Xenopus tropicalis: one gene and its partner. The protein of the gene in region 2 interacts with the protein of the main gene of each other region in a biochemical or structural test. Links are inferred from orthologs where the notes say so. Each region holds a gene or a part of one and is shown on either strand. Other genes may lie near its edges. The genes, in order: dtna and dmd.3.

Evidence for each region.
Region 1: the proteins of dmd.3 (region 2) and dtna form a complex in vitro, tested with the Homo sapiens proteins (3 studies listed by BioGRID and IntAct, with this or other methods). The link is inferred for Xenopus tropicalis from reciprocal best matches to the Homo sapiens genes DMD and DTNA.

What each region holds. Positions count from the first base shown.
Region 1 is NC_030682.2:112,821,718-112,838,165, reverse strand, and holds the end of dtna (dystrobrevin alpha), read right to left. Parts: intron 13,761-16,448; coding exon 13,664-13,760; intron 12,910-13,663; coding exon of another isoform or gene 12,889-12,909; intron 9,614-12,888; coding exon 9,454-9,613; intron 7,430-9,453; coding exon 7,340-7,429; intron 5,252-7,339; coding exon 5,083-5,251; intron 3,752-5,082; coding exon 3,625-3,751; intron 1,388-3,624; coding exon 1,370-1,387; 3' UTR 1,340-1,369; intron 571-1,339; coding exon of another isoform or gene 547-570; 3' UTR 327-546; downstream 1-326. UniProt on the Homo sapiens protein: May be involved in the formation and stability of synapses as well as being involved in the clustering of nicotinic acetylcholine receptors.
Region 2 is NC_030678.2:107,308,434-107,325,619, forward strand, and holds the start of dmd.3 (dystrophin), read left to right. Parts: upstream 1-8,101; 5' UTR 8,102-8,227; coding exon 8,228-8,309; intron 8,310-17,186. UniProt on the Homo sapiens protein: Anchors the extracellular matrix to the cytoskeleton via F-actin. Ligand for dystroglycan.

The DNA of each region.
Region 1 (16,448 bases), on a different chromosome or scaffold from region 2:
GAGAAATAATTCCTCTTCAGATCATTGGCTTTTTAGTGCTCACCATTCCATGGTGCTGATTAAGTCACTGCTTGAGGATAATCCAGGAAGCCACCAGCTTCTTATCCAGGACTTTATCTGAAGTCTGTTATGGTCATGTGCAGTCAGATGGCTCCCTGAAGGCCAGTGGAAAGCAGTGATTTTTTAACCCCTTCTCATGTCTGATCAGTCAGGAAGTGTGTTAGCCACTTGGCTACCAAATGAGTTCAGCACAAACATTTTTCACGTGGAAAACCAACAAAAGTCTAATGCAACATGTTAATTAAAGAGTGCAAACCATATACTAGTTTTTTTTTTTGTTACTGGTGATGCAAATTATGTTTAAAACTCAAACAAAAGCTTCTCATTATTTCAAAACACACACCTACAAACTACAAGGTTTAGCAGAAAATGGACTGTGCTACATTCCATGGTGCCAGAAGATGCAGCAGACATTTCCCCTCATGATCCTCTCAGGGAGTCTGGATTTGTGCCGTTTGCTCATTACTCAGTTGGCAGTCCTCACCGCTACTTCTCTGGACTAAAGCTTATCTGTAAGTAACACAAAAATAGTGTACAGTTAGGGGTAACACACAGTGCCATAAAGAAATATACACAGTTACATTGTGCATAAGCAACCTATAATCATATTTTACTTTAGAGATGACAAATTAAATAATAAAACTGAATACCTATTATACATACATACAAACACACATGTATGATAATAAAGACGGAAAATAAAACCATGGACTAATACTACTAATCCACCACCATAGTAAAAATCTAAAATCTGAACAGCTGAAAACTAGTACAAGTACTATGCTAATACAGACTAGTGCTAGTATTCCTCTACTTGCTCTGCTGGGAAGAAGATTTGTACATTGTGTGGTAATTTTTCTTGCATCTAAAAAACTGGGGTTAGGGTTATAAGATAAAAATGCTCTATGTTAACCAGAGTTGCTATTATTCCACAATGTTTTCTGAAGTGTGATTGCCCTCTGCTGCACAGATGAAGTCACTGTCAAATAAAATGAAAGAATAAATGAAATTCAGTGCAATCAAAAGCAATCCAAAATGAAAACTGTAATAACCTATATGTTGGGCTCCAAATTACAAGTAGACTGAGGAATAGCTTTTTCCCAGGACAGCTCAGGCCAAATTCCCTGAACTCCTTGCCACGGTCCCCCATGAATGAGAGCATGTGAATCATTTTGTCTCTATATTTATTTATTTCAAGGACCTAATGCACACTATAGTGGTTTTCTTTTAGTGATGCAGCATTCCACACATGTCTAGTTCCTGAGATCAGAATACTTACTTGAGAGGGGAGGGTAAGATGATACAGCATTCAGCCCTGCAAACTGACCTACAGGGAAGAGAATACCAGACATGATCACTAAATTATTAGTAGCAGATCTTATCGGTAAGGAAAATTGGATGGCAAAATTAAAAGAAACATGCACACCAGGGAAGTGTATAATGGATATTAATCTATAATAATAATAATAAGGGGGAAAAGGCACAGAGATGTTTTGCTAGTTTGTTTTTGATTATACAAGGGGACAAAGCTTCTTTACGGTTTCTCCAAGAAAACAAGAAGTTGCCACAGAATGTAACCAGAGTGGGACCAAAGAGAGAATGTTGTGGCCAGAGGGAGACCACAAGGAGCAGCAGTGTGTTAAAGTCATAAAGGGACCAAAGGGTGTGCAGCACAAAAGCAATCACAGAAAACAGCATGTTAGGGCCAGAAAGGAACCACAGGGAGTTGAAACATGTTATGGCCTGGGAGGAACCAAAAGAACTAGTGTCTTCTCTAAGCTATGTGGCTGCATGCACCAACACAAATTACAGCACTGCTACACAAAACAGGTATGCAGCAGTGTGTGCATGCTCCTAATTCTCTCCTTGCCATTTTTATGCAGATCAGTTTGTTCTATGATATAATGGCTGCAGGGGAAACACATGGAGCTGCACTATGTCTGTATAGGAGTTTGCACTGCATTGATATCTTCCCCTGGATCAGGGACATAAGCAAATCTATGGTTAAGCTTGATGATCGCCACTGCAATAAGAATAACTGATTTAGGGACCAAACTTATCATGATCAGTGACACTGTTATGGCCTGAGAAAGCCAAGTCTTACGTATACCAGGACCACATGGAGTCCACAATGACCAGCCACCCCTGCTACCCTCGCTTACAATGGAGGAGTGCAGTTTAACTTTTTTTTTTAATATAATATTTTCAATGGTATTTTGCCTTTTGCTGGCAGCAACTTGGTCGGTCCTTATCACCATCCCAAAGTGCCACTTCAGTCTGTATTTACACATAGTAAATATGGCAAATATGGTCTCAGTGTGATTAGTGACAGGTAAAGAGCTATTGTTCTGAAAATTTAAAAATTACAAAGCACTTTTTTTATGCAGAAAAAGCAATCCAGGCAAGAATAAAGAATGGCTGATCTGAGGAATCATGTGCAGGGGATGGCAGTGTTAATTGTCAGAGAATTCTAAATAACAGCTTTCCGGATTACTGATCCCATAAATGAATAAGGTAACAGATGCTGCCTTTGCAGGACTGACTCTAGTAATTTACTATTAAAGTATAAAGAGACCTAAAAACAATTACAGAATAACAGGGCCCCACCCCACAGTCTGCAGCCAGGTTCCCAGGAATTGCTCTGCTTCAATGTCCACTAAAGGCAAAATTGTTCAGCGGGTTTAGATGCTAAATTTGGAGAGACCCTAAGGTCTGTACTTGGATTTAATTCGCTTGTAAATATACATTGTCATTGCATTTGTTAATGTTTACAGTTGCCTTAATTTTCTTTAAAATTTCAAAAGACGTACATTTAAAAAAAATGAAAGAAAAGAAAGATTACAGCACAAGAAAAACACAGTAATAAAGTGCCAGTTTAATCTATTAAATACATTTGATATTTAATGGAGCTAAAAAAAAGATCATATTAGAAAATGATGACTATACATGAACAGTTGATATGCATGGAGTGATATGTATGTGTGTATATGCGTGCCCTACAATACCATCATAGCTTCATTCAGTTCATCTATGCATTTGGACAATTCATACAAAATGGCTGCATAGCTTAAAAATGATAATTTTTTGCAAGGTCGGGCTGGCAAGGTCAGGCTGGCATGCCAAAGTACCAAAGGCTCTCCAAGTGGACACATCAGTCCTTTCCTATTTCTATCATAAGCCAAATAAAATATATTACATTTATCTCTCTCTGCATCTAATATTTGGGCTAGCGGGCCAATAATATCTAACGTTCTGATGGGCCAAATAGGTCCAGACACTGCTTGTATGGGCTTTAAGAATAATATACATATTATTCTACTCATTTGTTAACATTGTTCAGCATGATCCCAGCTGTATTAACTTAGACTCTTGCTTCTGTTAGTTATAATAAATAAGGATTTTATAGATAGAATTAAGAATAAGTAAAAATATGATTTGGCAGAACAAATACAAACTTAGAAACTCAATGTATTTTGCTCCTTCAAAATGAATGTTATTCAAATATGCCATTGTTCTGCTTTTCAAAAAAATGTCTTCCTAAGTGCTAAGTGTTTGAATTATCACCTGATAAGCTTCATCTTGTAACTTCTGCTTTAAATACTCTTCCATCTTCAGCTCATGTTCTAACTGGCGCACAGAGTCATTCTCATAAGTCTCATCATCATGCCGACCGTAGGAACCCTCTGTACCCCTAAAAAGCAGACAGATGATCTTATAAAATGATTACAGCGGCACTGTTCAAATTAAATGTTATTGACTGTCAGAGATTAAAGTAAAAATGTATATTGTTTCCAGCTGCTAAAAACACTAAAAAGAACTGCTGGCACAAAGCGCTAAAATAATACATTAGACTTCACACAACAAAAACAAAACTGGCAAAAGATCATAGCAGATTTGAAATGCTGCACTGTCCAACATAATGTTCACTTTAAGAGGACATATATTCCTGAATCACAGACAAATATTGTGAGTGCAACCTTCAGTGCAAGATAATGACCGCTAAATACTGATCTAACCTGTGCTAAAACAATTCTTTTATTTAAGTGATTTGCTTTTTCTCTGTACTAATGAAAAAGTGCCTTGTACTTTATGCTTTATAAGCCAGAATAAATTCATATTCATGGCAACACAGTATACCGAATTCTGGAAACACCCATTGTCAGGAAGATCCCAAGTATTCCCAAGAATCAGATAAAAATTTATTATCCAACCATTTTAATTACTATTTAGTGTAGGAAAAATTATACTTCATCACAAGTATAACGAAGGCCCACTATAGACAGAACAGACACCAATTTTTGGTCACAACCCCAAGATTAAGAAACATTGGTATAATAGATTCCATAATTACATATGTATGGTGTATAGGCACACAGTTGGTACAATAGTCTTGTTCTGAAATGGGGATTTTGGAACATAAAGCAGTACAACTGGGCTTATATAAAGGACACCCAGTATTCACTGAGTTTAAACAGAAGGGAATTTGCTCTTGTCATTTGGCTACTTTTAGAGCTAAAAGAGGTTTTGTAATAAAGGTTTGCCCTGGGGCAGTAACCTATAGTAACCAATAAGCAAGTACAATTTTCTGGTCACCTATTTAAAAGCAAACATCTTATTGGTTGCCATGGATTACTGCTACTGGGCAAACGTTGCCTTTTATGGAATACATGTGTATAGGAATCCAGATGTACTGAACCAAGTATTGCATTTAGGTCCAAGTATTAAACCAAGTATTGAATTTTGGTCCTGTCATGGAACAAGGCATTTTTCTTGGTTAGAGATGTTGGAACTCTGGTGTCTTTAGATGTAGATAATTAGTGGAGAACTCCTGGTCAGTATTCTTACCATCAGCAGCTCATAGGACACAAGTGCAGTTCTAATAAAAACATTTTTTTTAGGTTGTGGAAAGTTCCAAATTTTGCCCTTATGAATGTTCTACAGTCTTCATAAAGGAAAGCCCAAGGCTCTGTATTGTTAGCAAGAAACATGTCATTGTTGTAATGCATTGAAACAAATACATACAAGTCAGTGCGAATGTTGCCAGTAGCAGCAGAATGATGATTAAACCCTGGTTTTCGTGCATGGATCTGGGCAAGGAATGCCTTCTCTGAGGTTGGGGAAGGAACCAAATCATCAAAATGAACACGGCCATATTCGGTATCCACACCACACTCTGTTTCATTTCCAACATCTACAAAAGAAATATCTGGTGTTTATCTGGTGTTTACCTTCCCTCTCAAACCACATACAGAAAATTCACTGATCCACACTTACAGGTGATGCCAAAGGAGACTTTTGCACTTTATAAAGTGCAAAAGTTTCTTGTGACTTATTGGACAAATGTAAACATAGGTATTTGCAAATAACTAGTATTAATAAACGACTCAGTGCTCTCTGGATAAAATAACACCCACATACAGAGCATTAGATGCTGAATAGCTTGTGTTAACACCCACCTGGCAGGATAAGTTCTTAATTTATCCGTATGTGACGTACAAACAGCAATCAGTAAAGCAGAAGGAAATGCTAAATGTCAAGCCTCATTCAGGATGAATCAGAAGTGCAAGTTAAGGCTTTAATAATGTCAGAATTTGTTCATGCTAATGTACAGCCCATATTGTAGCTATAGTAAGGCTGCTATAATATATACCTATTTGTTTTACCTGAATAGGCCAATATTTACCATGAATGCTCTTCTCAGTTATTTTGCTAATCATAAAATAATTTGAATTTGGTTTAATTTACAGTATGTGTCCTGGGGAGTCTGCAAGTGACACAACTTTGATCACTAAAACGTTAAGGGTATCCATATCTCTGAAGCAGAAAGCTCATCAAATGATTCAGTCTATAAAAGCCTCTACCTGCTCCCTTCACATGCTATATTACAAAATAGAACTGCAAGCTTATTCCAACTGAATCATTATGTTGGGCTGAAAACCCCCAACTTCAGCTGATTCTTCCTCTTTTTCTTCTTCTTATTCTTAGCGCCCCCCATTTTCTAAACGCCACTCCTCCTACAGTTTTAGGGGTGCTGCCATTCTCACAGTAATAACACCAGGGTCCCCAAACTTTGCAGGGTTAGGCACCAGGTAACTGTGGTTCAAGGTTAGAAAAAGCGGGCGGAGCCACCAATAGCAAATCAGATTTTACCTATTGACTTTCAATGGGGATATTCAACCTGCTGCCATTCTGACAGAATTAACACCAGGGTCCCCAAACTTTTCACAGTTGGTCACTAGGGGACCGAAGGTTTAGTATGGAAAAGTGGGCGGAGCCACCAACAACCAATCAGATTTCACCTATTTAAGTCTACTGGTTTGATGCCAGGATCCCCAAACTTTGCACAGTCAGTCACTGGGTGACTACATACTCAATGTTAGAAAAAGTGGGTGGGGCTGCCAAAAGCCAATCACATTTCTTTCATTGTTTTCAATGGGATAATTTTAACTGCTGCCATTCTCACGTGTTTAATGTCAGGGTCCCAAAACTTTGCCCAGTTTGTCACTGGGTGACTATGTTCCAAGTTTAGAAAAGTGGGCGGGGCCAACAGCCAATCAGATTTCACCTATAGACTTCATATGTTTAAATTTAAACTGCTGCCATTCTTTATATATTAATACTAAGGTCCCCAAACTTTGCAGAGCTAATCACCAGGTAACTGTGGTTCAGACAGATAGTTCAGAGTATCTAGATATAACTGTAACTGTAAATAACTGAAATAGCTTGTGTTTACATGACATGTTACTTGCCAGAAGTGCCAGTGTTTTTTATTGTTTTTTATTGTTACTGTGAATTCTTTGAAGCCTCCTTCAAAGTGACCTTATTCATAGAAGCCTTCTTTGAAGAACATCACTTAAAGGGTCAGTCTATCATCTTTTTGAGTATAAACTCAATGAATAAGACGGCTGAACACACTATTTCATATTAATTACAGAAATATCTTTGGTTTTTATATTTCTTTCACAAAACATGTCAAAGATTGAATTTGAAGCCAACTTTCACTTTCCAGCTTCCTGGCTACCAGCTACCAATCCAAAGATAAGCCAATTGGTTAATGAGCTGCTCCTCGCATCAGTTTGGGTAAAGGATGGGTTTGTTTATGCAGAGCTTAATATCGCTTTTTAATTAACCTATTGCGAGGCGGAAATGCGGGGAGAGGTTGTTCAGGAAAAAACAAAAGAACACATTTTCAACACAAGTTCTATTCACTGTGGTCATGTTGAGCAGTGCTGTATATGGGTGTATACTGACCTCACTGTGTTTAGCGCTAGACACTCACCTGACTTCAGCTCTTTAACCAGAGAAGACATAGTATTGGTAATGGAATCAGCTGCTACAAGTAAATCATTACGTAAATTTCTCCTTGCACCTGGAGAAGAAGAGAAAATATATGTGAATATCAGTTAATATAAGCAAAGATAGTTAAAAAAAACTGTAATATTTAGACTGTCAATGTTTTGCTCTTATATCAGATTAGCTTACGTTATGGGTCAGAGTTAGATGAAAAGGGGCAATGTAAAACTAGGGAAAATGATCCGAGTGGAGAAGAATGCTGTTAAACTATATCTCCCAAGCACCCCCTTCTAACACCCAAACCTGATGGATTGTTAGAGTTGCAGCTTGATGACAACAACTTTTTTAAACGATTTTAAAAAATACAAGTTTCAGTTTCAAGACATGCATCCATTTCACGTTTTGGTGTAAATTAAACCAGCCTAACTGATCCAGAGTTAAGTGAAAAAGCATCATGTGATACCTCTCCAGTTTGCCACACAAGGAGAAAAATTTATCTTGACTGGATCACTCAAGGTATTTACACAGGGGATTGGGGACTGGGCTGGCAGCCGACCAACAAGCGTTCCTGGTACGTTTATCTACAGTCTGGACCCCAGGAACCCTGGGAAATCAGGACAAATGGTCTTCTCTCCCTTAACACCAACAGACTGAATTTTAGAGGGATCATTTTAAAGTGGAGCAATAAGTGGCACAGAAATACAAGCTATGCTTTTACACTGTTGATTGCTTTGTGCAAAGTTAATTCTAGTTTATGTACATTTATAACTACATGCACCAAAACTTTTACATATGGAATTTACACCAAAGTGGAACCTCTGTGTACCTCCAGTGGCATAACACTGTGTCAGGCCCCCCGCAAAAACATCTTTGGAGGTGCCCAGTGCGCCCCTACCCAGCCCTCCCTTTAAACACCCACCCCACTGTGTTCCCCATTTCCCAGCAACTCACGCTGGGTAGGTAAGAGAGCGGCTGAGGAGATGGGATTTCTTAAAGCTATAGAGAGAGAGCAGACCAACTTCTTCTATAGTTACACTACTGGGCACCTCTATAAATACTGTATGTGCTTTCTTTAATGCAGATTTTTGGCATAAAATTACTTTACATATGCTCCCATTCAACAGGTTAACGTAACTACTTAATTCCTATTTGCTACAGTAATAGCTACACTGACATTAGTTTTTCAATTGAAACAGCATCATTTTGAGAGTATTTTATAAATGGGCTTTGTTCAAATCTGTGTCTGAGGCAACATAACCAGGAGAAAGCTGTACCTTAAGTTTGTCTGTGGCACCCAGTCCGGGCCCCTCTGCCCCTTTCCATTGTCGTCCCTCTTGCCCCCCGCCCTGCTGCATGACTAGAGTACGCAAGAATGCAATAGTGCTCTCTTCACTAGTAGAGCCGAAATCCCAATTTAAAATTCTCAATTTGGGCAAACATGGCTACCAGGAGCAGCTTTTTTCAATCCCTGATAAACAAATGGGCTCTGCCGCCTGAGGCAAGAATCACAACTTGCCTTGTGGCAGCAGTACTCCTGCACCCAGTCAGTGAGTTTGGTCAGTTGTGACTGTGTGGTTTACACGATTCCCCGCCCAACCACAGGAAACAGCACTCACAGTAAAGTTCTATTTAACATAACTTTACCTGGCTTCCACCAACTGGAAATCACTTAGCGAAGCACACGTTTGAAAACAAGCATCTCAGTTTGCATGTACATTTGATAAAAGGTATGTTGCAGTGATGTAAATATAGAGGAAACACACTCAACCCCAGGGGAAAGGGGGGCCAGACCATGGAATCTGCTTCCTCTATAGCTCTAGAGAATTCCCCCTCTCCAGTCGCTCTTCTACCTAAGAGCTAGCAAGAGAAGATTGGTGGAACGGAAACAGATGGGCACAGAGTGGAGAGTGGCAGGGTTAGGGGTTACAGTGCATTGCGGGCTCCCCTGAAGACTTTTTTGCAGGGGGCCTGGTGCCCTGTAGTTACACCGCTGGTATGCTGCTTGCTGAAATGTGTTTTGCCCTTTTTAGTGTTTTCCTCCCTTTCTTAAAAACAGTATGACAATCATTTAATACAAGCTTAAATTAGTTAGCAACATACTCTGAGCAAAAGCTTCTTGCACATCTCCCCCAACACCAGTCAGAGAATCCTGAGGAGTGTGGGTTGGGGTGGAGCAGGCAGATGCTGACCGAATAGGCATAGGTATCGGTCGGCTAATGGTATGACTAGGAGATGAGCGAGGGGAACCAGCCCCCTGAGTCTGTAAAAAGAAAAAATGAGACGTTAGAAAAGATGTTAGAAAAACAGATACTGCATAAATACTGTCAATCCCAGATTTGTAAACTGGATGCTTTTAAAATGATTGTGTTTAGCAATATAACCCCCAAGAGCAAAGGATTATGCCTCAAAAGTTTGCATTTCATATCATACAAGTTGCCTCCAGCTTTTTCATTTAAAAGTGCCAGTACCACATACTCAGATTTAATACTGTCAGGTATGAGATGCACAATTTCATATTAATAAGGGAGTTTTTTTTTTAGGACAGAAGAGACATGGCAGTCTATCTAGACTGTGCACATCCTGGCGGAATCAAACTACAAGGGGCCAGATCCCACTGACAACATTTAGCGACATACAGCTTGGTGTCAGCTCCTTGAACTCTTCTTGTGCTTCGGGCACCAAGCATGAGATTAAAAACTCCAAATGACACATTTTCACTGTGGCTTGAAATATTTGTGTAAGATTAATACTGACATGAAAGGATACATATATCCCGGTTAGTAAGCTGTAAGAATGTCACATACTAAAGGTTACGAGTTGCACTTTCCATTGGAAGTGATAAACAGGTTTTCAAAAAGATGTAACTTATCTGTTAATGTCTCCCTTTTTGTACTGAGGGAAACACTTTCAACACTTTGAATACATTAGAATCTCTGATTTTGGTTTTCATTTTTATCAAGGAATGAATTATGTAGTATTTCAAAAGTATATGCAACAGCTATTAATAAATGTAACAGTATCAGCATTGAAACTAAAGGAGATGACTGTTGAACTTATTGCACACACTACTGCAAGCAAACAGGGATGGGTTTCCCAGTGCTACACAGCTGAGCATGTTACACACACTATTGCAGACAAATGGGGCAGAGTTACACAGTGACACACTTTGTCTGAATAAGTAGTAAACACAAATTCCCTGTGCACCCTTGGATTTTCTGTCTACATAGGTCTCAAAATTTGTGCATATGCTTGTACATGCAGAAGCACATGGCTTAATGGGAACACTGGGTCAACCTAATACACATAGGGGCCGATTCACTAAAGGTTGACAAAACAACCGCTATTTATAGCATGTGTTAATTTTATCGCTTCTTATTTTTTGCGACTTAGCGCTCAATTCAGTAAAAGGACACGCAATGTAATTAAGACGCGATGTTCTTTGTGTTATTTAACTCGCGATGAGTGTTTTTCTTGCGTTATTTCCCCCTGTGTGCGATATATTTCACACGTAACCATTACTTTCGGAAAACTACGGTTCTGAAAATGACCATTTCCCTGAAAACTGGAGGCTGCATCACTCTAGGGCCAACACAGACTTGAATAAATCACACTGCAAAGTCCATGTTGTGTTGCCAAAAGCTCACGAACCGCAATTTTCTTTAAGTACCGCCTGCCCCAAGTAGGTGTTAGTATTTGCACAGAGTAATGTGATTTTTAGCGTGTTCAACGCCTCATATGTGTTTGTGAATCATGCATTAGTATTTTTTCTATTCGCTAATTAACGCAATGTGAGGTAAATAACTTTGATGAATTGGGACTTAATTATCGCATGCTTTTTAATGCAAAAAAGCATGCAATAAGCGTTATCGACCTTTAGTGAATCGGCCCCATAAGGTAATATCTCAAACAGTGCAACAGAGAATGCTATAGAGGGATTACCAAAATTCTAAAAAACAAAAAAAAACACAACTTTAAGGCTAGTCTTATAGCCTTAAACACAAGTTTAAGGCTATAAGAGCCAACAAAAAAAGAATTAGCTTCAGTGTACAATGATTCTGATCCAGCTGTTTGTAGTTAGTTATAGTTCATGGATGCATTAGAGGAAACAGCACCATTCAAAATTGCAACGTTTCAGGCCAAACAGCATTTCCTTTAAGTATGTTATATTTCATGGCCTAATCAGAGTATAAGGCATAAAAAATTCTATCCTGTGCAATTTGATAACACAGTTAGAAAGACGCATAGACAGCAGAGGAGAGAGCCACTTCCATTTAGACAAGGGGTAATGGCATAAACTGATCAAATAGTAACAAATACAGTAGTAGCTGTATTCTAAAAATCTGCAGATGCTATCAGCTTCCTTCATGGAACTTTAGTGTAACCCTAAATATGTACGTGTGCTTGCCTCACATAGTATATTGCATAAACATGTTGCACTGGGAATATATGTATATACATATATGTGAAATAGACACATATTGTTTAGAATTATATCTTCTTATCTTCTAATCTAGTAATTTTAATCAAACAGGAGAAACGTTTCTCTGTAGTACATGGTTTCCACTTTAACTGCTTAGGAGCAGACACCCTTAAAAGTAGCAAACATTAAAGCAGTATGCTTAAAGCTTTGAAAATAATATGAATACAATATACGCTTCTTTTTAAGCCTCATACACGGCTTCCACAGCTTTTATCGGCCTGTGTTTGGGGCCCTCAGATGGCCTATCTGACCAATATCTGGCCAAAAATCTTCCAGATGTCCATCAGGCAGGTTTAAAAATCTTGTTGGAACGAGGAGCGAATTGGCCTGTACCCCGGCAATGTGATCCAATTGTTTGGCCACCTCAAGGTTGGGAAAAGATCTGCTCATTGGCCAACTTAGCCAAATGAGTGGATTTTTCAGTATATGACCACCTTTACTATGTGTTATTTTCAGATTATATTAAAACTTCTAGTTCTGCAGTTTACACCACCAAAATATATTTAATGTTTAATTATGCAATAAGAATACTAAACTAGGAGCACAATCAGTGCAGTATTTTTTAGATATATTTTATTTAAGCTTTTTTCCCCAAAACTATGTTGTGTGCAGTAGCACTGGGTGCATCACCCTGTCAGCCCATTGCAGCCCATGCCAGTACAATTATTATAAAAAGGCGGCAACCCTACTGGGTCTTTGTCTACCCCCCCCCCCAACTGTTGCTGGGCCTGCTGAATGCTGGTTATGACCGTGCAAATAGTGTTTGCTTTTGATGAGGAAGTCTTTTAACTGTCCCTTTAACAGAGTAGTTAATAGATCTGCTAGGGACATTGTACTACATCCAAAGTTATGTAGGGGAGGCTGCTCAGTTGCCTTAAAAAAATGTTGCCACACCATGAAAACTCAGTAGATACTGTAAAATGTGCATCTGGCTAATCTGATTTATTTGTGGTTATTTTCTTATTCCAACACATGCTAACATTGCCAACCAATGCATGTCATGCTGTTTTCATTACAAGTGTTAGTTACAGAAACCCTATAAAATCAGCACTTACTTCCTGTCGCAGCTCTTGCTCCTGCAAAAATATTTATCAGCACACATTAACCCTATGAAAGTATTGTATAAAAATGCAAAATTTGTAAACCAAATATAAACAACAGCAAATTTTAACTCCAAGTAACTTTCCAATATTCATTACAAACGTTAAGTGATTTTAAGTACATTTGTCTGTCTCTTCTCTGCACTGCTGGTTCTCACTACATGCACTATTGAAAAATTGTTGAAGTAGACATTTCTGCTCCAGCCAAGAATGCAGTTAAATAGCAAAGCAGATACCTATGCTGCACTCATTAGCAAGTACAATTACATATAACTAAAAATCACTGAAAATGTATAATTAATGGCCATTGGAAAGTTGCTTAGAATTTCATTCTGCAAAATGTTATATTTGGTTTTTCATCTCCTTTACTTCTTCATACCTACAGACTGACAATCATAGGTTTAGGGAGATTTACTGCTACCTTTTAATATATTTTATATATCTCCAAAAGAAAACATTTTATTTTTAGCCTCCTCAATGATAATCATATGATATGTCACTCTCTTCTGGTATTTATGCCCATCGGGGGGTGGGGGGGGGGGGGGATATTCTTAAAGAATAAATCAGATATGGCTTCTTTAGCAGTAATCTGCAAGCATTTCATGTAATCTAAAGCATGCCACATACAGGTCAGCTTTATTGCAGTCCAATAGGCCAAATAGTCTTATATTGTGCTATCTGTCTACACCAGGGTATTCAATTCACCCTGATGCTATTCTGTGCTTCTTACCTTTAGAAGTTTCATGAGGCCTTCCAGCTGCACCATCAGCTCCCTCCTGCTTTCCTGCAGGGCAGACATCCTCTGCTCAAGTTCATCTTTGCGCTGTCTGAGGGGCAACAAGAGACAGTTAAGGGAAGAAAGCTTGATATAATCTGTTTGTTTATTATCACTGGCAATAATTTTGCATGGCTGGGCCTTGAGGTGATGCTATTTGTTTAAAATGATTTTCATTCCAGTGGGTCAATTATTATAGTACCACAAGTTTGTAGGCTGGATTACAGAGAAATTATGTCAGAAAGGCCTGTGTGGATGGGTAAGATGAGGGCCATAGGCACCCAGCGAAGGGGCATCCATGAAGACTGCTTTGGAGAGCAATTTCTTAAATATAAAAAGATGGGTTGATTTACTAATTATCCATAACTTCCAATTAGATAAGTGCTTTTATTTGCATATGCTTTCATTTTTATAAGCACACTGATTGAAACAAATTGCTGATTGGTTGCTTCTGGTAACTGCACTGGTTTATTTTACCTCCTATGTTAATAAACTGGACCAGAAAGTGTGGCTTATTTAGTCTTTTCTAGTATTCAAGTTGTGTTGATTGCCATTAACAGTAAGGTAGACTTTTATTTTTTGTTAAGTAAGTTTCTGCTGCATTAGCCTTGCTTCCATTACAGACCAATGACATTTCACTATCCAAAGGTCCTTCAGATTGTAAGATCTTAGTAACAAGGCCCTTCAAACCTATTTTTAATCTGTAGCTCTTGTCTGTTAAATTATTGTAAGACTCCCATTTGTAAAGCATTGTGTAACTTGCTGGAGCTATATAAAGAAATGATTATTCTGATAATCAGGGGGGCAACTGCCATAAGGCAAGGTATGAACCTTTTAAATATATCATAACATTGTCTTTGCAAGAACTTTATAATGTTTCCTGATGCTTTTACATTACCAATCTGATCCCCCATGTTCCTCTATGAGGGGGCTGCCATATTTGTGCAGCAGTAGACTGTTATCATTAGAAGCTGTAACTGACAGAGTGAGGAGGGACAGTCAGGTTGGCAAAATAGTCAGGTTTAGAAACTTCAAGTAACAATTACTTACAAACACAAACCTATTCATGACAAATGATCAATATCACCTACAGCGCCCTGTAAGTTACCAGGGGTGAAAAAAAGGTATTCCTGGTAACTATATTCCTGTAAACCCAGACATTTGTCTCTACTAGTGCAAAGAGTGTATATACTAGCAATGCAGTCCCCTCTGGACCCACTCGATGCTGGAAAGTTAAGGGGGGAAGGGTTGCCACCTTTTGGCGGACTTAAATCCGGGTGGGTGGCGGGGATGTGACATCAGTGGGCGGGGACATGATGTCGCTTGGGCAGGGCTATGATTCAGGGCAAGAAAAGAAGTCACTTAAATCTCATAACTTAAATCTCATAAAGTGTCCTACAGTGTACCCTAATGGCTGTGCTATAGTCACATAGAGGAATGCCATTTTTTCTTCATATATTGAACTTACTGTACCAGCTTAAAGGTTCAGCATCTCTATAACAGTAATAATGAAGGCCTCCAAAGTTGTCACAGGAGCTCACCATCTTGGATTTTGTTAAGTGCTTCAGTAAAGCTCACATAATACTCAGTGTGCTCTGGGCAGCTGTAGAGAACCTAAGCTTTGGGGTCACTGCAAATCATCAAGCAGAAAATGAGGTCCATCTGTCATAGAAGCTAATACTACAGTGCTGATTATTAAATGCTGAGGTTAATTGCACTGGTTTCCGAGTTGCCATGTAATGTGAATATAAATTAACTACTAATCAGCCCTGTATTGTGACTTTTATATTTAATATATACGGTTTATTGCGAGTCTGTGCCTAAGCTAACAGCACAGAGCATGTGCAGTTAATAAGTAAGGGGATGGGGTGGTACTGGGGGGTATATTTGGAGACACAGATCTTCATTGCTAAAGGGCTATGGTTGCCTTGGGCTGGTAACTCTACTTCTTTGTTAAGCTTTAGTACACCATTAATTACCTGCTAAGGCTTGAATTGTTTTAGGGTTATGGTTTTGTTTTAATTAGGAATGTTACATAATACTAATATATAACACATAACACATTTATATTCCACACCCTGTACTGTTACATGTTGGACTGTAAACCCCAATCACTTCCATCCAGAGAGTTAATTTTCTGCTTGCTCTTGTAATACTAAAGAAAACAGAGCTGGGAACACCCCTTAACGCGACCTATTCAATCTGACATTCAAGAGAATTAAAAAACTAAAATGACCCAATCAGAAAACACAGAATCTGGCAATTAGTAGTCATGGAAACAAAGCTGCCTTTCAGACAGTTACCACTCCTTGAAAACACTATACAGATGCTCCCTTGGTAACTGGCGGTATGTTAACAATTCATTTTTTGTTAGGACAGTAATAGCACTGAGAAAACTGCAATATTATCATTTGTATTTAGAGCATAGCATCATACTTTATGCCATAGCTATAAATCACTGTAAAATCTATGACGGACAAGTAAAAAATAAAAATAACCCAAGCAGTATTCTCTTTTGGAAATACAAATAACCATATTTACTCGGTTACATACACTAGAGAACATCAACACAGGAAATCTGCATCCCTGTTAATTGTGTTGATATATAAGCATAGTATGAGTCCTGTATAGTATCAGGTACTTGCAGGATCTGGCAATGCAATGCAAGCCTTGGGTGGGTAGAGGTGAACTTCCCTGCCCCTTTTATGATATCACTTGCATGTTTTAGATAACACCATGT
Region 2 (17,186 bases):
GAAGTAAAAAATATTTATATATTTTATAGTTTATTTCAAATGACACCATGGGGTGTTTCCATCAATAAAGGAGGTTAAATGCTGCATTTAGAAGAGAATTTAAAAGACAAGGTTTTTTGTTTGCAAACCATAGAAGCATATTGATATGAAATATGTTGTTTAAGAGATTTTCAATAAGTCTCCAAGTTGTGCTTGGGACCCATTATGACCTATGCAATAGGTGTGTGGCTTCATAATATTTCTAGAAAATGTGTGGAATCCCCAAACCTCCTTGGTCTATTGGTGCTACAAGAGTCAATCAAGCTTTGCCATGGTTTATAGTTTATGAACATTATCAAATATGGTATTTTATTATCCATTAATGCCTGTGCTGTTGCTTTCTTTACTCTTTGCCAATGTTATAGGTGAGAGGTCAGCAAATAGCTGAATTTTGTGACTGAAATTTAGTTGTGGTTAGTGTTGAGAGAATCTGTCTGGTTTCGAAATTGCGAAAATGCTGAAAAATTTGCAAAACATTGAAAAATTTGCGTGCAACTTTTTTACTCACTCCAAATACATAATAGATGATGTCAATGGGCATTTTTCTCACTCAAATGCATTAAATTCAATGGATGTTTTTCTCAATGGGCATTTCTTCTTACTCCTACCATGCAAACTTTTTTCTCCAAATACATTAAAGTCAATGGGCATTTTTTCTTACTTCTACCACAAAAACTTTTTTTTATACTGTAGTTTTGCAAACAAATTCACTGATGGTGAAATGTGGAATTTTGCAGAGAATCCATGTCTGCCGTAAAAATTAACTTATCAATAGTTGTGGTCATTGAACATGTCTAACAGTGCCTCCTTGCTATAAAAGTAGTAGAAATATACCACTACATCCTGAGAGAGGCCCATAAAAAAGCGTCCTGAACCCAGGGAGCAATTTGCCCTATCCATGCATCCACGTATATCACGCATTCTCTGAGATGTCAGGGCAGATAGAGGAATATTGCTGTTTTTTTGTAACTCTTGATTGCCTACATCCTCTGGTTCTCCTCTTTTCAGTTGTTTTTTAATTGCTAAACTTTATCTCTAAAATAGGTTAGTTCTTTTTAGTGGTGTAACTTTAGAGGAAACAGACTTGGCAACAGGGGGTCCCAGAACACAGGATCTGCTTCCTCTATAGTTGTAAAGTCTTCCTTCCCCGCTTCCAAGTAGTAGAACTGCTGGGTAGAGAAGACTCATTTAGTCAGAAGATGCAGGTGGGGGCGAAAGACAGTGGGGGCAGGGAGTGGGTGGTTTCGTGTATGTATTGCTGTGCACCAGGCCCCTCCAAAGATTATTTTGTGGGGGGGGGGGGGGAGACTGGTACACACTAGTTACACCACTGATTCTTCTTATGCATTTATCTGACGTTGTGCTAAATTATCTGTGTGGTCACCCAGTTCTGCCCAAATTGCTTGTATTTTCTTTATTGCTGCAGCCACTGTTGCAAGTACAGTTTTAGCTATAGAGGCGGTTAGGTGATCTTCTAATGTATGCAGCTGATTGGCTAATATCTGTGCAGTATGTAAAGCTTTCTCTGGGATTTCCCAGTAAAATACTAACCTGGAGTCTTTTGATGGTGTTGTGTGTAAAGGGGCTGTGTAGCAAGACATAGGGGCAGATTTATCAAAACATGATTTTGAATCCCGAATGGGAAAAATTCGGATTGGAAATGAAAATTTCTGAAGATCTCAAATATCACGAAAATGCTTATGAAAAAATCGTATCAGTCACGATAATATTGCATTGGCTTTCCGAAAGTCCCGAAATTTTCGTACGGAATGATTGTAAACAGCGGCAAAACCGATCCGATTTTTTCACGCTAAAAAAACGAAAAAAGTTGCGAAAGCGCCGAAAAAGTTGAGCAAGGTACGAAAAAGTCGAACAAACACTCGGAGTGTTCGTGGATACGTAAATGTGCCCCATAGAATGTAATGGAATATCAGATAATTTTGAGTGCACCCAAGAACCTAGAAATTTGGCATTAGGCCAACAGTTTCGGCAACCCAGGTCAAGATGACTTTATTTTAAATTTAGTGCCCTGTCCTGTTGTTATGTCATGGTGAATATCAAAATGTGGTAAGAGTGTGATCATGCCAGAGTTCCCTTGGTGTCAAAGAGAATATCACCAGATGGCACCAATCACAGCAACTTTACAAGTAGTAATATTAATGTGAGTAATGTATGTTAGAATGGTTGTATAAACTTTAATGGTGATGTTAGTGCATCCTGTATATTGGATTAATTCAGCCCATGCCAACCAAATATTTTGAGATTTATTGTAGTAACTAGATGTCTGTCAATATTTATTAGCAGTAACTAAACTCCGGTGCCACAGTTGTCCTACTTCTGTCTTTTAATATCCTGTGCAGACTGGCACCAAGTTATTTTAAAATGGATGTGATACAGCATTTGGAGTCATCCAAGATAAAGTGCCTGTATATTGCTATCCTTTAATAAACAAAGATAATATACATAAATAACAATACAGCTTACTGTGTAAAATGGCTGGTAGAAAGGGCAACAAAAATTAACTTACTTTCAACATTATACACAGTGCAATGTTAAATCCTACAAAAATATAGGGGAAATAGGCCTAGTTGCAGACTACGACAGGGCAAGTTGCAAAATACAAGAAACAATAGTGGAAAGCAGACTAAATGCACTTTACACTAGTGATGAGCAAATGTTTTCACCAGGATTCAGGGTGAAATTCCTCATTTCACCATTTGTGAAACTGCATCAAAAATTTACCACAACAAAAAATTTACAGAAAAACAAATGGCTATTGACGTAATCTTAATGTATTTGGAGTGAGAAAAAAATCTGCATGCATTAAAAAAGCCATGCACATGTTACCTAAAAAGTCACGCTGCAGGAGTGAGACAAAAAAGTCTCGGGCATAAGAAAAAATTGTTGCATGTAAAAACAAAGTTGACTCCAATGGATTTCGCAAAGTTTTGCAAATGTTTAACACTACTTTATACCTTTCCCAGATGGTTGCACCTTCAGATAGTTCTTTGTGCTACAAAAGTCTATGCCTTTATCATTAATGAAGCTCCACCAGAATTTTTATGTGTGCAATGAGCAGCAATTAGGTGTCCTTTAGTACAGGATTCCCTTCAGGGGTGCTTCTGCCATGACACCAGTTGAGAAACTCACCTCAGGCAGCAGCTTTTTGTCACCAGGGGTGGCAAAAAATGCTCCTGGTAACTTTAATAGCCCAAATTCTAGTTTTTAAATTGGAATTTCAGCTATTCAAGTGCAGAGAGCAAAACTGCGCTCTCTGCACTAGTGCTGCAGCCCCCCATCAAACTGAAGTTCTTAATGCTAGGCTTGAGGGGGCAGCACCAGAAACTCCACCTCAGGCAGCCAGGGGCAGAGAATTGCCCTTGATTCCATTGATTCTGAAAGCAATGGAATCAGCACTTTGTCTTGGATTTTTAATCTCACAGTAAATACTATGCAGGACCAGAACTAGGGGCAGCCAGTAGAGAAATATGCCTAGGGTGCAGCTGCCAGGTCAAAAAAATGACCAGGAGATGTAAAAAGAGTTCAAGTGATACCAGCATGGTAGGTTGTTGGGGTAAAGTGGTGTGAGCAGTGGCAGCAGCAGGAGAAGGGGCTTGGGCCTTGGGGGAGTGAGCCTTGGGGGGTGGGGGGGGGACAGGCCAAGTAATATTGTCTTTGGTGCTAATATATTTGGCTTTGCTCTGATCCTGACGTGAGCAACGTTGGATCTTGACCCGCCCTTCTCCCAACCTTAACCCCTTTGCCTGTTTTTACTTACCAACCCCAATAAACACACGGACACCAATTCTTGGGATAAAATGGCCGCAGAACATTTATTAATAACAATTAGAGTTTTAATTTAAAACATATCATAAGAACAAATAAGATAGAAAACAACTCATGAACACAATACAAATGTTTGTATAACAAACAACCAACTTTGAATAAACATAAACCATAACATACACCATAACAAGCCAATAACTGCGCAGCGCAACTGGCGCTGCCAGCTGCCCTTCCAGCCCGGAACCCCCTACCCAACAAAACTCACCTCCTAATCCACTTACTTACCCCTGAGGTTCCAGGCATGCCATCCCCAAACAATTAACAAACTCCCTTCCTAACCCAACCATTGTTTTCCCCCAACTGTATCACCCCGCCAACACCACTCGTTGCCTCCATCTCTATAGGGAGGGAGGGTGGGCGTTTTCCTATGCTGCCTAAAATGGATGAGGAGCGGGAACGTTTTCCAGCTATTTATACCCCAAACGAAACAACCAATCAGATAAAAAACTGGGAGTGGCTATGTCTGTCCTACTGCTACTGCATGCCCCTGCTTCCCTACGTTTCCCTACAGGTCATTGGGCTACTTTATATGCTCAATTGCTCAGTGGATGAGTCCTAAGGTGGTTCAGTAGGATTAGTATCTAATCCCTGGTGTCTGGCACTGCTAGGGCTATGGCTAGGGTTCATTTTGAAATAAAAATAAAAATGAATCCCATATACTATACTAAGAGCTTCTGAAATATTTGCATTGTTCTAATAATATACAGTAATTAAGGCTTGTGGCACACAGGTGATGTTGGGTGCATTGCAATCCACTAGAGAACCATGGCATTTGTACATCTGAAATATTAATGCTTCCTCTAGCAAAGGTAGATGAGTGAGTGCTTTGGAGTGGTGGTTACCTGTGTCTGACATAAGAAGAGTGTCTCCCATACTTTGCTATGGAAAGTGCTAACAGCTGATTATGTGTTTTTTAACTGCTGTGATTCTCCTTCACAGTACTGCAGCTGTCACCTAAGAAGCTGTAAAGAGATTAGTGTTTAGCAATAGAAGTACAATAATTCCACTATTATGCAGAAATGTATCCAAATGGTTTCATACTTCTACTGAAGGATCGCAAGTTCCCATAATGAATCAGAAAGTGCTGGGCTCTGCCTGAGAGTCAAAACAAATAGTTTCAATAGAAACTCCTGCCAAAACAACAGAAACAATAGAAATAAAAAAAAAGGTTCCCTGTTGCCAGAAGTGTATTATAATGGATGCATTGTATTTTGTAAAGCAAATTTAAGTGGTGTATTCAGTTAATAGAATTAACTTAAAAAAAAATATTTAACAAAGAGACAATTTGTATCACAAAAAGTGACCAATTAAAACACTGTACAAAATTTTTATATATTTCTGTAAATATTATCCTTTCCCTTTTACCATTTAGTGATGGTCTGTGTGCTCCATCAGAGATCACCTGACAGGAAATAATGCAGTCAGGGCCGCCGTCAGAAATCAAGGGGCCCCTCACAACAAAATTTTCTGGGCCCCCCCAATGGCCCTTCCCCCAGTGACCCCTCCCATCAGTTACCAAGCAGCCTATGCAATAAAATGTCTCTTTAACAAATGGCACACACTACACAGAACACAAATGAGTTTTATATTTGTTAAATCACATTTATTACTATTATTATTAATACAGTACAGGCACTATACAGGCACCCATTAAACACCCATTATACACCTGCATCCTCACTTTTATAAGGTCGCGCCCCGTGCGTACTGACGTCACGTGTACACACGGGGCGCAGCCAATCAAATTACCCGCTGACCACAACCTGCAATGTTCAGGGGTATATTTCCTATTAGCTGTGCACCCACAATGGGGTATTTTTTGCCTGTTTTTGCACATGACAAATTGAGTATTTTTAATAGAAAGCTTATTGCATTAACACCTAATGCCATGTCTTCCATTTTTGGAAAATTTTTCTTTCTTCATTTAAATTGGATCAGATTTTTTTGGTAGGATTGGTATAAAAAGTTATAAAAGGAGTTTAAATAGGTACATCATATTCAACTGGCAAATCATTGACAATCTGTTTAAAAGGCCATTAGTACTGTATTTCTGTAAACATATAATGTGTGTAAACAATAATTGTTTGCTGGACACAAATGGCTCCATTGAGACTGTGAAATAACAGATGTTTCTTTGTCTATCATACTTCTGAAGGAAGGAAAATAAAAATGCTGTGAAGGGAATTGATTTGAACATCTAGAATAATGCACCATCATTAGAACAATAGTTATTCAATTAAAAAGAAATACATTTTCCTTGGTAAATAAATAAAGAAGTTGAGATAATTGAGGCGAAAGCCCTATAGTAGAAAGCCATGCTGAGCAAGAAAGCAAAGAATCTAATGTAGTGCAATTCCTAAGATACAAACAGCTCCTCACTACTGAAACACCAATGGCAGTTAAACTTATTTGGAAAAACTAAAATTATATGGTTATTACCCAAAGGGCAATATAGAATAATGCATGGTTTAATCTACAATAAAATAACCATTATTGCTGTTCCTCTCTTTCTCCTCTTGTAGCTTTATTGCTTGCCTCCCAGCACTGTATATTACATTATATGCTATATGTGCAATGTAAACAACTAATTGCCCAGATTAGTAATGACAGGAAAGAAATTAGCATGCAAGTATGCAGAAACAGGTGAAACAGATAAATAAAAAAGAACATACAAATAAAAGCTGAGGGAAGTAGCACAGTCATAGAGGTACTAAGCAGATGCTTAACTCTAAAAAACATATTTGAAATTATTTGTTTAAAGTTTTTTTCTCTGTACGGAACCCTGACTATATAATATTTACTCCAAACTGTTACCAGATCACCTTTTTATCAGCATAATTACAAAGGTTATATAGTATCATTCCACAGGATCAAATGGCATCAGGCCTAGAATGCTTTCCATTGAGTCCTTTAGATTTATAATGACATCAGCTTCCTGTGAATTCTTTTTCATTCTTTTCATTCCTTTTCGTCAGTCTCTGGAACATGACAACTTCTGCAGAGTGCTGCATTATGTTATATCTCCTGCATATTTAGGAGAAGAAGGAGAGGTAAATAGTAGTTATACAAGCTGGAAAAAAGGAGTTACTCTGCATTGTTATCCTTGTATATATTCACCATATCTAGCAAAAGCCTAGAGCTTTAACATACTGTACCCACGGTGCTGTCTGCCACTAAAATGGGTGTCATGGGAGACTATTGTCTGTCAGATACAGTATATTCAATTATGACTAAACCAAGTTAAAAAAAAAAACTAGACCACTACTAATGAGAAAATTCATGAAACGGATTTCTTGCTGCAACCTTTTTCACAGCTATTTTTTCCATGCAGAAAACATTGGAGTCTAGTGGCGTTTTTCCGCAGTGACTTTTCTGTGTAGAAAAGGTGACTTTTTCACAGCAAAAAAATGTTTGCTGCAAATATTTGCGGTACTTTTGCAAAGTATTATCTAAAGGCAAAATGAGGAAATTCGTCTGCAAAAAATTGCTTATTGCTAGTGACCAGTGCTGCGCTGTATTTGGACTTTTTTCATCAATACAATTAATGAAGGCAATTTCCCTACTGAACCTTTCTTCTGTCTCCAGTACAATGGGCTGCTAAAAATAAAACAGCACACACATCTAAGCTTTTTGATCTTTAAAAAAGTTTCCAACTGAACATTTGAAGGTGACGGTCTGCCCCTACTTATGTAAGCAAGGAACAACCCTTACTAATTACTGAGCAGCACTTGATCTGTTTTTTTGTTTTTCTTTTCTGCATCTAGAAAATGATTGCACATTATTAGACATAACTGCAAAACAAACTGCATTGGCTAAAGAGATTGACATTTTTGGCATCCTTTCCACCCTTGTGGAATACAGTATATATTGAACACAGACTCATGATATTTCAGCTGCAAGCAACTAAGTGAGATATAACTAAATTATGTTTTCCCTCTGAGTATAGTTTGGTAATTTGGTATTTTATGGGTCTTTGTATTGATTGTGCAAAGCTACGGAAACAGTTTCAAGAATCAACAAGTTGATGCTGATTTATAGTGTGTCAGGTTTAATATTCACTACTCCACATTCATGTTCTTGTAGTTTATACGGGGCTAGTTCTATTTTAAGGAAGAACAGAGATCAGCACCTGTTTTCTCTGATCTGTGGGGTTGACAGTTTATTCTCCTGTTCCAATGCAGACACTATTTGCAGTTTTAAAAGGCTGTCTGCTTTAGTGGGAATAACACGTTACCTAACTCTCTAGAGTAACTTGCTTTGCTGAGAGAGAAGTAAGACTACCAAAAACTTTGGGTGTTTATTCTGCAGCTTTGAGGCCCGTCAGTGAGAGCTTCTGTACATTATGGCTGAAAGTGGATATCAAGAGGAGCCCAGAGGAGATTCTGCTGCGGATGAGTTCACTGATATGATCAAGAACAGATCCGGTAATGTCAATATTAGTTTCTTTACTTCAGTGTGGGAACTTAAAAATAATAAATCTGGCTTTATTGTGATATGAACTGTGTAAGATATTTAGCAGCAAAGCTTCCAGTTACAAGTGTCTGCTGTAGTGCAATACTACTTAAGTCATTCTGACATTTCGCTTACTAATGCAGCAACATTTGCAGTAATCATTTAAAGATCTTTTAAAGCCTTTTGGGTTTTATGTGCAGCCCAGAAATCACAGTATTTGTGATTGAAAAATATTTACAATAAAAGTAATAATAAGAAAAATAAACTGCTGATAAAAAAATGTGTTTTATCGGCAGAAAAAATACACGCTGGCTGTATATATAACTATAAAAGGGACTTCCCATGCCTTTGTGTAGTATCCAATTTTCTGACAGCTCTTTATGCCATTTGTGTAATGGGGCAGGTCATTACAGCTGTAAATGGAAGCGACTGCATTGCTTTCCCATAAGATACTGTTTCAGCTGCCATGCCTCACTCAGCTTCATTATGGAAGTAGATCAGCATAGTAATTTATAAACCATTCAATGTTTAGTTTATTTACAAGTTCACTAAGCATGCTATATAAGGCTGAAAAATGTACTATAGCACTTTCATGGCTATCTTAAATTTACTGCTCATACATAGTGAATGCATTCAGATGAACTGTAATAGGGGGAGAAAAATTAACAGCTGTGGGGAAGAGTAAATCTCTTACAAGTACACCGCTCTCATTTTACTCTTGTGAACTTGTGACTTGAATAAAGTTCATGCAATGCATAGCATGGTAAGTGCTAGAAATACGTCCCAAATCTCGTAGGATCACATATACGGTACAGATATACTAAATACATTATAAGCACGCTTCACCAGCCTATTTGACACTCACATGTGTTCAGATGTTTATTCAACAGTGGCTTTCACACTTAGTTGACATAAATCCCAGGGAGTGTGAGGTATTTTAAAACAGAGATTTATAGGTGGAAAGTGCACATGTTCACTGAAAGGCTGTACATATATATGGAGGAGTATAAAAATATAATTCAAATAAAAACTATTTCAGATTGAAAACTGTATCCAGAATGAACAACAACAAAAATTGGCTTAGACACAGGATGTACTGACAATTAATTGGGGGAATGCAAACATATTGGCCAGCATTCAGCCTTTCATAGCCACACCCTGTTTATCAGATCTTGAACAGGGAAACCTACAAGGTTAATGTTAGCAGTGGAACTGAGGAATAGGAAAAGTATGCAGCTACGTGTGCATGATTGAACTATAGCACATAGCAAACATTTGGCCTTAGATTTCTGTTCTAGTAAACTTAAAGGGGTTGTAAATGCAACTATAACTTTTTGCACAAATTAAATCAAATTGAATTTTAAGAAACTTTCCACAATCCTGACACATTTTTAATTATGTCAAGCATATTTACTATTCAATGCTGTATTTTGCTGTTTTTTTGCTATTCTCTGCATGTCCGATTCTTGCTACATGTATCATTGAAACAATGTTACAGTAGTCAGCACCTTCATCTGTGAAACCAATTCCTACAATGTCTTGCACACTCTGTGATTAACGGACCCACAAAGATAGAGATTCACAAAGCATTGTAGGAACTAGCCCTGATGCCCAACATAAGCATTGAGAGTCAGTCACTTACTGTACATGATGTGCCTGGGTAATCAAAATCCTTCAGTAGGCTGGAGTGGAGTACTGTTTACATTAGTAACCCAGGCTTTTGAAGGACTTCACCACACCCAGCCCAGTTCAGGATCTAATGTAGGCATTCATGGAAGGAAATATATAAGCAATGTTTTACATTTTGATTTATGGTGATACGTTGCACATTTCTAGCTTGCACAGTTACTATGTTATGTACTATTAAAAAGCCAAAACTGCAATTTAACTTTAGAATTGTAGTTTGCATTATGTAGGTTTAATATCTTTTATTTTCAGTCAAAAGTTTTACTTCTGTCATTTATGCATCCTTTCATACTATAAATACAGTGTGGCTATGTAACACTGTGCAAGTACTGGATTTTTGTAAATCCACACATGGATTGTTTTTGATTTTTTGGCAGGACTACCTAAGTTACCTGCACCCCTAAAACATGTGACATTCAATTAGAAAATGAAGTGTCTGAACATAGCTTTGTGGCCTAAGAAGCACATTTCTCATCTCATTTCCAGTGGGTAACTTTAGAAGGTGAACTAGGGAATATTTCATTTTAAAATTATTTGCATCCTGAAACCTACCAGATCTCAGGTGGCTAAAATTTTTAGATATATTAGCATTTAAATGTAAATTTTAAAATGTACATTTAAAATGGAAATGTAATTTCACCTTATAGACCATTGCTCGGATGGGTTAGCAATCTGGACTCCCACCTGGGCAGGATTTGGGATATGACCAGGACAGTAATTGTAATATTAACCTTAAAAAAGAAAGTTGAAATCCTTATGGTGCATTTGTTGGCAGGAAAAGGTCCAGCATTGTAAAAAGGTCATGAAAAGGAAATACCCAAATGTGTCATGCCCTTGTTCCATGGGATTTATCTGGTATATAGCGTAGCATTGTACTTGTACAAAAAGTGTTAATGTGAGTTTGTTTGGTGTGTGATAAGGACTTGGCAGTGACATATTTCATTTTTATCCGTGACCAGGTATTTGCACTGCAGCTGAGTTCACAGTTGCATGCACTCTTCTATGTTTGTTCTGCATGCAAAATAAAATACAGGTGCATAACTGGTGTGTGAAGAAAATATGGTGCTACTGCCTCAACGGCTAGGTGCTATTGCTAAGTACTTCTCATGCTCACACAAAGCTGATGTACATGTATAGGCAGTATGCCACAATTTAAAGAACTTATACTGCATAAGAGGGCTCCATTTTACTCCTGAAATTTGTACAGAATGGCTGGGATAATTAGCAGGTCTAGAAAAACATACACAACTGTTGAGGTGGTTGGTTAATGCCTTACTCAAACTATATTTAAGGTTTTGCTACACTAGTACCCGATCCTGGTGAGGTTAACAAAATGGTATTATGACATATTTGCTATGTAACACCACTGGGACAATATCCCATATGTTGTGGGATTGTCCATTTGCAAAAAAAGCTATAGTACTATAACATGCTTGATAATATTTGGGAATTAAACAGAGAAATAAACTGTATATAGCACTACTAAACAAACCTTCAGACACTGTTAGGAGATTTAAATGTAGGTTCCTTTTTTCATGTTTCCATAAAGACACCTATGGGGGACTATAATAAAAGGGATTCACAGCAAAATGAGTGCAATGGAAATATTTTCCATTGTGCAAACAATGTTTCCCTTGTGCAAATTTAGTACAGCTTTTATGAATCCATGAAAGATCTCAGTGACCGATCCAACAATAGAAAATAGATTGCACATGTAATAGTCTGTACAGTTCTGTTTTCCTGTTTATGACTTTCATTACAATGGTCATTTTTTGGCTAAAAATCCTTTATTCTGATACAACATTATACATATCAATGCTGTGACTGTTAAGGTACCAGAAAGCAATCAAAATACTGAGACTGAAACTATGTGCTTCTCTTCTCCCTATTTCTGGAGCTTTCCTTATACCTTATAAAGATAGAAATAATGAGTTGCAATAGCAATTAAAAAGGAATTGTGCAAAACTGTATGTAATTATTGTTCCTATACTTTAGACAGCATTATAATTTGAAGTTAGTAAATAACAATTTAATCCATTTTTATGGATTTACTATAATTTCCATGATTTATGTGACATACTGATTTGTGGTCCTGGCCTACTGACCTCAAATTGATCTACAAACGTGTTGCAAAAAGATTGTTTGGGTTTTTTATTAGCTGCTCTAAATTTCGTGTGGTATTTTATGTTTAAGTGATGGGTTCTATGACATAATTTATAATGGTCTTTATAACCTAATTTTTGAAAATAGAAAAATAAAAAATGTTATTTTAAGCTATAACCATTGCCTATATTATGGTGTAATTTATTATATCTGCAGCAACTGAAAATCAAATAATGATTTAGTATTAACAGTCCAAATGAGACTGTTAGGCCTATGGCACACATAAAGTCTTATTTACAAACACAGGTGTTCTATTTCACCTGTAAAATAAACCAATAGCAACCAACTAGCAATTGAATAAACTTTATGAAGATTGCTCTTCATGTCTTTATTTCTGTTTTGCTGTTCAAACTACTGTACAACTGACTGTATACCTGTGGTCAAATGGGGAAATGAATGCAATGTGGTCTTCCATTTGGAAGAATATAATGTACAGTACAACCGATGGCAGATTTCTGGGCAGCATTGGAATGGATCAATTTAACATCCATATTAGTAATTGAGTGCTAAAATCTCCACTCCCCAGGTGTTTTGTTGCTGCAGCTTTATGGATAATTATACAAAACATCAGGAATTGTCTTGGATTGCTTCCCTTAATGGTCTTGGTAATTACCCATGAGAAAGCTTGAGTGCAATTAAAGTTTAGCATACCGAGAGACAAAGTGCAACATTTCCCAGGCAACCATCCCTGTGTGCCAAAAAGCCTCAGTTGAAAGAGTGCAAAAACAACTGCACATTTAACTTCTTAATATATTTAACTGTTTTTTCTTAAATGGTATGATAATTTTCATAATCAGTAGAACTGTCATATCAAGGCTTATATTATATGTATGTTTTGTTGTATTAACTGTTCATGATAATAGATGTAGCTACCACATGCAGGGATTACCACTGAAAAAAACAAGAGTTCCAGGGGAAGGACAAATGAATTATTATTTCCATAATGGTCCCTATAGGGAGTTGGGACCATATGGAAATGTTTTGTATAATATGTTCCCTGTAAATGTACACAGGGGTATTCATTTCGCTTCAAATTCATTACACATTTGGGTGTTCCTAATTGGTTTGGCATTTGTCTATGTAGGTATATAATTTGGAATGATCCTATGCAGAGTGATTAGCTGTGTCTTGGTTAAATGCCAATGTAATGTACTAATTGCTAATCATTTTTTGGTTTATTGAATGCCTACTTTTTCCCATAATGACTGTATACCAGGGCAAACATCAATGCAAAGAGGAAGGGTTCTTGACTAGTCTAGTAGTATAAATTTATAAAGACATGTAATGGAATGTAGAGGAGGCCTTAATTGCATGTGTAGTTTCAATTATTTAATTCTATATGCCGGAATTTTTACATAATTGCATCTATATATATATATATAAAGTTCCCAATTACGGAAAGGCCATCTCCTATAGACTCCATTATAACCACATTATATTTAATTTTTAAAAATGATTTTCTTTTTCTCGGTAATAATATAACAGTACCTTGTACTTGATCCCAACTAAGATATAATTACCCCTTATTGGTGGCAAAACAAGCCTATAGTGTTATTTAATGTTTAAATGATTTTTAGCAGACTTAAGTTATGGAGATCCAAATTATGGAAGGATCCCTTATCTGGAAAACCCCAGGTCCTGAGCATTCTGGATAACAGGTCCCATACCTGTATATATATATATATATATATATATATATATATTTATAAATGTAATATGTTTAAATTCACTAGACAGCTTTTGGCTCTTTTCTTTGTCAGAACAGATTAGCATATTCTCTCAGTAGTTTTTGAAGAGGCTTCCAGGGATATTTCATCAAAGCTACAAGTGTCTGAGTGAATAAAGTGGGTTTTGTGAAGTTACAATTTAAAGTCAATGTTGCAGTCCAAAATCAATATTTGGCCTGGATCAGATTCTTTTGTTTTGATGTTAATTCACCCAAAGTTAATCACAGGATCTGTGAAGTCATTAGAGGACAATGGGAAAATGAACAATACTCCTTAGTGCTGCAAACAAACTATCATCAAACTAATTGATCCTGGTCCAAAAAAAAAGGTACACATTAGGTTTCAAACTAACTTCTGGTGCATAGATCAGAGTTTCAACAACACACGGAAGCACATCATTATGGATATAAAAAAATATTCTACATGGAAAACAGGTTACAATCCCTATTGCAGCAGTTAAAGGGCACATTTAAGAGTGCCCCTCCAGTCATACATTGCCTTTTCTCTAGCTGGAGTAGTTTTCTGTGCTCAGCCCCGGATTTCTAATGGGGGCGCCCCGAGGCCACCCCCATTCTGTGCCCCCCAAGCCCCCCCCACGCATGCGCGAACACGTGGAAATGTTAATTTATGTATTCATATATTTACGAGGAATATTCCTGTACATATTAATGTACAGGGTAAGTTACTTCCCTTGTATTTTACTGTACATTTATGGGGCAACAAGTAGAATACTATATATCCCCTATTTATAAAGATTGTTGCTCTTATTACAGAAGGGCACATTTTGTGTGATCAGTTTGTAAAAGTAGACAATCTAATTCAAAATATTTTAAAAGATGCAGAAAGCCAAATAGCAGATATCAGCAAAAATAAACTGAGAAATCTTGGTGAACTTCACTGTACTTATACTGTATAACAGGGGTCCCCAACCACCGGGCCGGGAACCAGTGCTGGGTCGTGGGCTGTGCTGAACTGGGCCACCTCTGGTCCTACATACCTGATATCTCAATTCTCCAATGTGTTCCACAGCCATGACAACAGCAATGTGAAGCCCTGGAAGCTTTCTACTGATTGCGACAAGGGCCAAAGTACTGTACTTAAAGTTCCATACTAAGCATCAGAGGATGTCAACCCTTAGGTGGGAGTAAGAAAAGCAAGGGTGCTGGGCGCATCTAGTTGAAGGGAAACAAGCTCAGGTCCCCCACTGAGTTTGCATTATGATGAGCTGTATTATATTTTATAATATAATAATAATAATAAAATAAAGTGCAATAATAATTACATTTACATCATATATGTAATAATTCAATTATATACTATGCATTGGCTGTGCCAACCCCACAACCCCGGTCCTTGGAAAAATTGCCTTGCTTGAAACTGGTCCATGGTGCAAAAAAGGTTGAGGACCACTTCTGTATAAAATGCATTTTGTATTATTGCACCATTTATATGTTAAAGTTCCCCAAGTCTCTTAGGTAGGACTATCACAATCTTCTGCTATATAATTGTTAAGGCTGTATGGTGTGGTTGGGGTTAAGGGTCTGTGTGTGTGTTGTGGCCAATTATCATCCAGCATAGGTTTTTAAGTCCAGTCCAGTGTTCCCTCCTTGTCAGTTTAGTTTGGCTCCTGGAGTGTTCATGTGTGGAGTGTAAACCTACCTTCAGATAGTTAGAAAAACTTGTGTATGATTCCTTCCACAGAATGAGATCACTTGGCCAACAGTCCTATATGTGTATTGCAAGATTGTTTATTAATGTGGACTGTTAGATTTGTGAATGTTGTACAAAGGTGAACAACCCCTTTAACATCGACCAAACTACCTGATTAAATCTGGACATATTTGGTTAGCTTTACTTTGATTCCTATCAATGCTGACAGTATTTCCTATTCATGTGAATAAATATGGGTACATACAGATACCATCTGTAATTGGCCAAAAGACACATTATTTTAAATGTAAACGGTAAACAGACTCTTTAATGCAGTATAAAAATTCCATATGATTTTAGTAAAATCAGTATTTTGTTTCCTTCATATATATGTTCCATACGTATATGTTTATGATATTTGCCTGTTGCACATTACTTAATGTATGGGAAAAGCTGTGCAGTAAAAAAACCACCCCATTACCATACTGATGTAAGGAAGATTTGATAAATGATCCTATTTGGTTAACTAGTTACTGCTCGTTACTGCTGGATTTATTCTAACACAGATTTAATGTGTTATCAAGCTCTCTTCACTTACATGAAATTAAGTTTAACTGAGTAACAGCAGAGTGAAAAAGACTATTTATGCTCTGAATTCCGAATCACTTGCTATTCAAATCATTGAGAATTAACATACAGTCTGGTACATTAGACAGTAATAGGGCTCTAAGTAACTGCAGCGAAGGGAGTCTGCTGCTTCTGTCTGCTTAAATGTGTCAGGAAGACACTAGCTAGCCATACTAAGGCGGCCAGGTTTAGCACAGTGTAAATTTGCCTGCAATTCCATATGCATTCTTAATTTTCTTACTTGGGAAAATGACACCTTCAGAAAGGCACACAAATGATACTATATCCTGTCTTCCAATCCACTGACTATAATAATAGCAACACTTCTGTATGAGCTCTTTTGGTGTCTGGTGACTTCACCACAAAGAGTCAGTTACGAGGAGGGAAGAAGAGGATAAGCATGAACAGCTGCTTCTTCTCCGTAAATTAAGCAATTCAAGAGGGAGGTTTCGGTGAAAGTGCGTTTATGATTCTGATTTCACATATTTTCTGTATTATCCAGCATAATTAATATGTATCTGTTCAGTGTCTTTTTCTAAACACATTAACATAGTTATATGGTATATCCTCTCCATGTAGGTAACAAATATTCTATGTTTCCATCACTCTTGGTATAATATTTGACTGCTAGACCAACCTCTATGCAATGCGCATAACAAGGGAGCAAGGGTGGGGAGTTTCTGTGCTTAGAGTACAGTAGGTCATAAGAGTAGCTCTGACATTACTTCCTGACCCACTTTCCTCTGCCAGCCCACTCATATAACTCAATACTCCACCTAGACCACCCACTGGTTTACTGTCTGTAATATTATGGGCTTATTTATGATTTTTCAAGTTTGTGAATTGGATCATTTTTCCAATTCAAATAAACTTGCATTTTAAAAAAAGTTGGAATGTTTGCTTATTTATTAATACAGAAAACTCATTATTGGAATAAAACAAACTTGAATACCTCAAATTTGTACGTTTACACACAAAAAAATGAAAAAAACAAAA